Mus musculus: one gene and its partner. The main gene of each other region encodes a partner of the protein of the gene in region 2 in a complex. Links are inferred from orthologs where the notes say so. Each region holds a gene or a part of one and is shown on either strand. Other genes may lie near its edges. The genes, in order: Polr2j and Gtf2e2.

Region 1 (4,323 bases), on a different chromosome or scaffold from region 2:
AAACCAAGACAACAACAACCAGAAGCAGCCAGGCGTGGTGGTCCATGCCTTTAATCCCAGCACTCGGGAGGCAGAGGCAGTCGGATTTCTGAGTTTGAGGCCAGCCTGGTCTACAAAGTGAGCTCCAGGACAGCCAGGGCTACACAGAGAAACCCTGTCTCGAACCCCCCCCCCAAAAAAAAAAAACAAAAAAACAACCAACCAGAAGCATCTTAAGGAAGGGTATACAATGCAGATGTCATAGCAACAGGATTCCCAGGCAGCCAAGCACACTGCATCTGCGCCAGGAAGCTGTAGTCTGACTCCTGAGCCTCTAGGATGATGCCATACACGTCTGTCTTCCTCAGTCAAATCTGTCTAGAATCCCAAAGACAACCAAACGTTCTTTATTATGGTTATGATTATTATTCTCTATTGTGAGTGCACACATGTGTAAATGCATACCGTGAAGGGAGGTCGGAGAAGTCTGTTCTCTACCACCACGTGGGTTCTGGGGACTGAATTTAGGTAATCAGATTTGGTCACACTCCCCCTTGCCCACTGGGCTGTCTTGCTGGCCCCTCCTAGGGGTTTGTTTCTAGGATGATTCTAAATTTCATCCGGTTGACAAGATGAGCCATCAGGGAGGCTGGAGAAATGGCTCAGCAGTTAAGGGTCTTACTGCTCCTGCAGGGGACTGGAGTTCGGTTCCCAGCACCCACTGGGGCAGGGGGGGCTCACAACCACCTGTAACTCCAGCTCCAGGTGACCCAACCCTCTTCTGGTCTCCAAAGGCACCTGCATATACGTGCCCATACAAGATATGCAAATAAAAATCTTTAAAAATAGGAAAAATAAAAGATTGCTACAGAGACCGCTGAAAAATGGCGAGGTGCAAAGCTTTCATCGTGTTTTTAGTTACCTGTGTGCTCAAGAGAAGATGCGCTGGTACCCCAAGCTCCTCCCCAACCTTTACATCCCTTCTTGCTCCACTGGTCCTCATCTAGAAGGCCTCATAAGTCCGCCAGTGTCGGCCCACCCGGGGGTCCTGCAGCAGCAGCCCACTTAGACTCTTAGTCCCATTCAGTCGGTACCGGGGAGCCAGCTACAGGTGGCTCAACTCCGGGCGCGGGAGCACGCGCCAAAACACTCAGCATGGACGCCTCGAACAAGGGTTCTAAACTGACGCATGCGCACGGCTCGCCCTCAGCCTTGCCTGCGCCTGCATTAGGTCATCCGAGCCGCTAGGGGGCGGGGGCCAGGTGCTTACACTGATTGGCTGCGGCTGAGAAATCCGGAAGTGGTCGCGCTTCGGGGCTCTGTTGGCGGAAGGAGACTGTGGGTTGGTGTCGGGGAGCGAGAGCGCGGCGCTAGGATGAACGCTCCTCCGGCCTTCGAGTCGTTCTTGCTCTTCGAGGGCGAGAAGAAGTAAGTGGAGGCCGGCGGAGGCGGGGACGGTTGCATAGGAGCCTGCCGGCCGTCAGCTCCGCTGGAGCGCCGCACTGCTCCTGTCTGGGGAAACCGAGGCGGGAGGCGGGCTTTGCTTTGAGTCTTCCGTGCTGCTCAATGCGAGTCTGCCCAGCTTCAGGCAGCGGCGCGAAGCACTGGCGCGTGCATGCATTTTGCAGTGGGAAATCGGAGGCTCTGGGACATGGAGTGTCTTGCTCCAGACACTTGGTTCATGATGACAGCTGTGAAGGGACAGAGACACAGCTCTCTTACACTCCTCAGCAACCTGAGGGTTTCTCCTAGATTTTCAGGGATCCCGACTTAGGCCAAACCCGGGTTCGTGGCTCCACGCTAAAAAGAATTTCAGGACTCTTCGGTTTAGTGAAGCAGGATTGGTGGGTTTTTAATTAAAGATACTTTAATATGGGCTTAAGCAGGAGGGTTCAGAGGAAGAGAGCGCTAAGAAAGTAAGACAGACGCAAGTTGGGTCTGTGTGCATTCAGAGAGCAGGGGGAAGTACTTTGCACTCGAGTGGCTACAGGTTTAGAGATTAAGCATCTAATTGTCTTTTGGAGGTAGGGTTTCTCTGTGTATCCTCCTTGACTGTCTTGGAACGAGCTTTGCAGACCAGACTAGCCTCAAACTCAGCGATCCACCTGCTTCTACCTGGGATTAACGGCCTGAGCCACCGGCTCTGGCTTTATGTAATTGTCTTAATGGTAGCCAAATACACTCTTTTGATGACTCAAAGTTTGCTACGAACCCTTCTCTCTTGTGTAACCCTTCTCTCGTGTGTGTGCCCCTTCTTGGAAGTCAGCTTAGTCTCTATCTCAGTGGGAAAAAGGTATGGAGGTGTGCTAGGAATCGTTTGTGAACCCCAAAAGATCATTAAGGAGCCGTTTCCATTAGGGTCTCTTTATCACAAGCTCGGGCTTGGGCTCTCCTCCAACCCAACCCTGACACAACAGGACAGGAAGAGAAGGCAGAGCAGCCTTGAACCCAGGACAAGGTTTTCTAGGGAGTGGGAGTGACGGGGTATGGAGCTTGGCAGGTATCTAACTGAATGTCTGTTGTAAGCTGACAGGTGGTGCTGTGAAGGGAGATGAACAATCACAAACTATCTGAAAGTAGATCTGAAGCAACCAGACTAATCTTTGATTAACTGTTGCTAGGGAGTAACTCTGGGGTATGGGCCAAGGGACAAGCCGTGAGGTCCTTCCTGGTACTTGGTTGCATCTTGGGTTCTGCTGTAGGTCAAGTTCTCAGGCTTTTTTTGCGGGGGGGGGGGGGGGTTCAAGACAGGGTTTCTCTGTATAGCCCTGGCTGTCCTGGAACTCACTTTGTAGACCAGGCTGGCCTCAAACCCAGAAATCCGCCTGCCAATGCCTCCAGAGTGCTGGGATTAAAGGCATGCACCACCACGCCCGGCTTTTTTTTTTTTCTTTAAGATGGAGGTAGCAGGTCCCAAGATGGAGTAGATTTGGCCTCTCAGAGGTATACCCCAGTGGTAGATTGCTTACCTAGCATGCACGGGGCTCATTTCATCCCTGTATCAATCAGTCAATAAATAATGAAGTTCTTCAAGATCCTCCGAGTTTGCCAGTACAGTGTACACTGCAGACCTGTAGCCGACACTGCTCATTCCTAAGAGGCAGGGTTTTGTGATTGACATTTGATAGCTACTTCAGCCTTCCTTGGGGGCATATTCTCAACTGAGAGCCCGGTTGTTGTCCCATGAGCAAGAGCATTTGGCCATCTGGAAAAGGTTCTGGTTGTCCCAGGCACGTTGGTATTGGCAGCGGGTGGATAGCAGCAAGGGATGCTGATAACAACCCTTGGTGCAGTAGACAGGCTCCCAGAAAAGGACAATCAGGTCCAAAACATCCATGTTCTGGGCTGGCAACATGGCTTGAGCGCAGGCACCCGCAGGCAAGCCTGATGACTTGAGTTCAGTCCCTGGGACCACTATGGTACCAGGAGAGACCTGACAATTACAGGTTGTCCTCTTATCTCAGACAGGCGTGGACAAAGTAAGAAAATATTTGTGTACCGAGTTTGAAAAAAGGAGCAATCCTTAACTGAGCGGTGGATTTTAATCCACCTTTAATCCCAGCACTTGGGAGGCAGAGGCAGGGGGATCAAGGCCAGCCTGGTCTACAGATCAAGTACGAAGAAATGTAGTCTCAAAAAAAACAAACAAAAACAAGGACTGCTAAGTCCATGCTCCCTGGTATATAAATAGGAGGCCATCACAGGGGAGAGGCGGTTCCTTGTTAGCATTTATTGATTGATTGATTGTCATGCTGAGGACTTGTGTGTAGATCTGAGTTCTGCTTCCAGTGTTTCTCCAGGGGCATGGGAAGTGGAGACAAGCACAGTGTGTCCATTGGCAAATGAGATTCTACCTTAAGCAAAGAGAAAGGCCAGGGTGATGGCTGAGGTGTTTCTCTATCCTCCTGCCTCAGCCTCCCAAATTGCTGGGATTACTGGTCTGAACTACCAGGCAGGCCTACCTTGTTTATTGTTTGGACGGTGGGAGTGGTGGAGATGAGACCCAGAGACTTACACATGGGAGGTTAATGGTTGGCCACTGAACCATGCCAGAGCTCTGAGTCCTTTACTGGTGAGTAGACTGAAAAAGGCCTCCCAGGGCTAGACCTGTAGCTCAGTGGTTGAGGGCTTTGCTTAGCACGCTCAAAACCCAAGGTGCAACTCCAGTAGCCATTGGGGATAGATAGTAGGGCTTGCAGAATGATAGACCTGGGCCTACCTTGATTGTGAGGGGCCTTGGGGGTTAAGTGTCTCCTGGTCTCTCCCCTGTACCCACTCCAAGACGGGTTTTCTGTGTGGCCCAGGCTGGCCTCAAACTCAAAGATCTACCTGCCTCTGCCTTCT
Region 2 (3,809 bases):
CAGGGTGGTAGCAAATCATGAATCCAACTTAGTAAATGCTGGCTTAGCTTTTTAAAACAAAGCATTAACATTTATATTTCGTGTAATTTTATTGCTTAGCTTATTAACCAGAGGCATACCCTGTGTTCCAAAGATGAAATCCTTACGCCAACAGTACTGACTCTAACCTCTGTCATATCCTAAACATCCCCCCAGACAAGTCAGGGGCTGCAGCTGCTCCCTGCCATTTTCAAGAAGTAAGAGACAAACTGAATTTCCTAACTTCTTAAACATCTTCCTACAAATGATTTTATTATAAATATTTTTTCTTGGAATAAACAAAACTGCATTCAGCACCATCCTCCAACTTCTTCTAAACGAATAGAGAAAACATGGAATCCAGAACCATTTAGAAATCAAGATAAATAGCAGACACCTGAGTGTCATATAAGTGTCTTTCTAATAAAATAAAACAAACAAACCCAGAAAGTTAAACAGGAACACCCATTCCTTCCCACTAGCCTGCTGGATGAAAAGAATGAGTCTGGTAACCCGCTCCTGTTCTGTAAACTGAGCAGCTCCTCTCTCAGGCCTGAGGAGCAGGCAGGAAGGCAGACAGTCTTGAGATCCCAAGCATCAAGAAAGATCTCGACTGCGTGTCTGTAACTGTGTTTAGGAATAAAAGTGTTCCCTATTTGCCCGGGGTAATGTCCGAGTAATCCTTCAGCACTCCAGCCAAGTGTTCATTGTGAGTCTTAAACCGTCGCTTTTTCTGTGAAGCAGGCTTTTTCCTTCTCTGAATAGAGGCCTGCAGGACAAGGTAAAGACAGTTAAACACAAGTGACCCTAGGGGACAGAAGGTTAAGATTTACTCAACAAGCTCAAAGCACAGGGTTCTGAGCCTTTCCTGGTTCTTGCTTGGAGGTCCGACCTCAAACACCCCATTCACAGTACACCCAGCCTCCATCTAGAGCTGTGCCTTCTGATACCACAAGGCTTTATAAACCTCCATTGGAAAAGAGCAGGCAGGCACAAAAGCAAAACACAACTCTCCTGGGCATTAAGTCAGTAAAATGAGAGGCGATGAATTTCTGTGCTGTCTCCATCAGAGGGAATCCCTCCCTCACTCTTGGACAGCAGGATGAGGAGCAGCTAACCGTTCAGAAGAAGCGACTAAACTGCTTTTCTAAAGAATACATACCACTTTCTTTGGTCCAGATTCCTGCATGGAAGAAATACCCTGTCGCTTCAGATACTCTTCAATTTTCTCCTCATCCATTGAATCCACAGTGACACTCCTCCACAGTTTCTGGAATTCTGTACCAAGACAGTAATTATTTTACCATAAATTTGTATAAACCACAGCATTTTTGGTGATCAAAATTCACCTTGAATAGTATCTGTCCTGGGCCTAAATTAGTACATCTTAGATTTAACTAAGAAAACAAAGAAATACCTTAAACCCTGGCAGGCACTCAGGAGGCAAAGTAGGCAGACCTCCACAAGTTCAAGGCCAGCCCTGCCTAACAGCAAGTTCCAGGCAAACAATGAGGATACATAGTGAGACACGGTCTCAACAAAGAAAGAAGGAAAGAGTGAAACAGAGACACGGACACAAGAGAAAGAGAAAACGGCAAAAGTATGTCAAGTGCTGGAGGCTGTGTGACCTGGAAGGCAGCAGTGACAGGGCCACCAGTGTGCTCTGCTTTTTATGATTTAGTTAGAAGAAGGCTGTGTGACTGAAGCTTCTCCCACCTTCAAAGGGAAGAGAAGCAGTTAACACTTCCATTCCAACAACAACAATGAGGAAGAGGAAGGAGAGGAGGAGGAGGGTAGGTTGAGAACACTCCCTATTATGAACAAAGGAAAAAGGTAGGTGTCTAGCCACGTATCCCATTCTTATACTAGACATGTATAAAATAATAATCGTTTATGCTTTAAATTCTGCTCCTAAAGGCAGCTAGCTGTACTGAGCAGGCTCACTAAGAGCCTTGAAGCCCTTCCCACACACAGCCCACCTGTGACGACAGCAAAGCCTTACAGTGTGCTCTGGGGACTGAGAATGGCAAAGCCCCTAATGCTGCGCTAGGCTTCTTGTTCACCATAGCCGAGGAGGTTGCAGGCCTGACTATTGCCAACCCTACACCAGCACACACCTCCCCTCCTTGCCACTCCACTACCATGCAAGCTACGTGACGGCTCAGTGGCTGTTCTTCAAGGAGACATGACTTGGTTCCCAGTACCCACCCACATGGCAGCTCACAGATATCTCTAACTTAGGTCTAGGGGCTCTCATGCTCGTGTTGCCTCCACTGCTCTGCTTAGTAGTTAAGAGCACCAACACACATGCAGGCCAAATACCCATGCAAGAAATAAAAAAATAAAAAAGATAATTTTTTCCCCAAACTTTCAATCTAAAGCAAACAAATGGTGACTAAAGTGCATGTGAATACATGCAAGCGACTAATGCATTATTTCAAGAGTCAAAGTTCATACAGCCAGTCTGGCTACTGTTTGGTATGTTCCCACGCCTTCTACATGTGACACCCTACACCACCCCAGAACTCTACCAGGAAGAAGGTCTCTGAATAAACCTCTTTGCTTTATAATTCACCCAGTCTGTGACACTTCTTAATAAAAGACTAAGACAGCAATCTTAAGCTAAAAGGAGCAGAGTTGGAGGCAAGAGACAACAATGACCACAAACCACATTACAAAGCTACAGTAATCAAAACAGCATAAAAATAAAGAAGTGTCAACCTACAAAACAGAATAGAGTACAGAGAGGATTATCTTAATATCAGTTAAAGTAAATATCTCAATTGATTTTTAATAATGTAAAAGCAGAAAATGAAACAGTCTCTTTAATAATGTCTTGGGGAGTCAGTGTGGCCAGAGCGATAGCTCAGCAGTTAAGAGCACCAGCTGCTCTTCCAGAGGACCCTGGTTGGCACCCTCAGCACCCACATGGTGGCTTACTCACGCCATCTCTTAATTCCGGCTTTGGGATTAGGCTCTTTTCTGGCCTCTGCGGGTCCGAAGCACATAGGTGGCATACAGATATACATGCATGCAAAACATCCACACACACAAAACACAAAGTGTGCCAGAAAAATAATTGAATCTACAAGCAGGAAAGGCAGGCTCTTTATCTCATACTATGTGCAGCAGTCAACTGGATGTGGATTACAGACAGAAAGACACACACAGAGTTTTTAAGAGCTCTGCTGTAATTATCTGTTCCTCTGTAATGACTCTTTCTCTTCTTTCACTGTCTTCATCTTCAGTAGTTAGCAGTCTGAATAAACCAAGTCTGATGTTTTCCTCTTTCATTGGCTTGGAGAGGCATGACTTATCTCACGTGCTTAGATCCATCCTGGTTTGATGTCATTAATTCTAGAAAATTCTTGGCCACTGATATTCAACTTTCTCTTCCACCATCTCCTTCAGACTCAAATTATCCATGAAGATAATTGAAGACCATGTGATATTGTCCTACAGATCGTTAAAAATGTCCCCTTGGCTACTACGTCATGTGTCCTGAGAGGCTACTGGAGTTGCTCTTCAGCTCTGTCACCACACTTTCCATTAGATGTTCTTAGTGACATATTCCACTTCATCATACAGTTGGTCTGGCCTTTTCTACTACTTAGGTCAACATTAACCTTTATTTTAAATTCTGTGTTTAGCAGTTTATCTAGTAGTTAAATATCTGTGTCTTAAGAATTTGGTCTCATTACTGACCTGGTCTCAACAGTATAATATTTTCCTTTGTCTCTTTTTATGCATTTTTTTCCCAAGCAGGACATCCTCTGTGGCCAGCTGAAATC

The links.
Region 1: Gtf2e2 (region 2) and Polr2j share a complex: the UniProt entries of both Homo sapiens proteins name them as parts of the TBP-based Pol II pre-initiation complex. The link is inferred for Mus musculus from reciprocal best matches to the Homo sapiens genes GTF2E2 and POLR2J.

Annotation. Positions count from the first base shown.
Region 1 is NC_000071.6:136,115,399-136,119,721, forward strand, and holds the start of Polr2j (DNA-directed RNA polymerase II subunit RPB11), read left to right. Parts: upstream 1-1,292; 5' UTR 1,293-1,354; coding exon 1,355-1,407; intron 1,408-4,323. UniProt on the Homo sapiens protein: Core component of RNA polymerase II (Pol II), a DNA-dependent RNA polymerase which synthesizes mRNA precursors and many functional non-coding RNAs using the four ribonucleoside triphosphates as substrates.
Region 2 is NC_000074.6:33,773,431-33,777,239, reverse strand, and holds the end of Gtf2e2 (general transcription factor IIE subunit 2), read right to left. Parts: intron 1,297-3,809; coding exon 1,181-1,296; intron 788-1,180; coding exon 671-787; 3' UTR 67-670; downstream 1-66. UniProt on the Homo sapiens protein: Recruits TFIIH to the initiation complex and stimulates the RNA polymerase II C-terminal domain kinase and DNA-dependent ATPase activities of TFIIH. Both TFIIH and TFIIE are required for promoter clearance by RNA polymerase.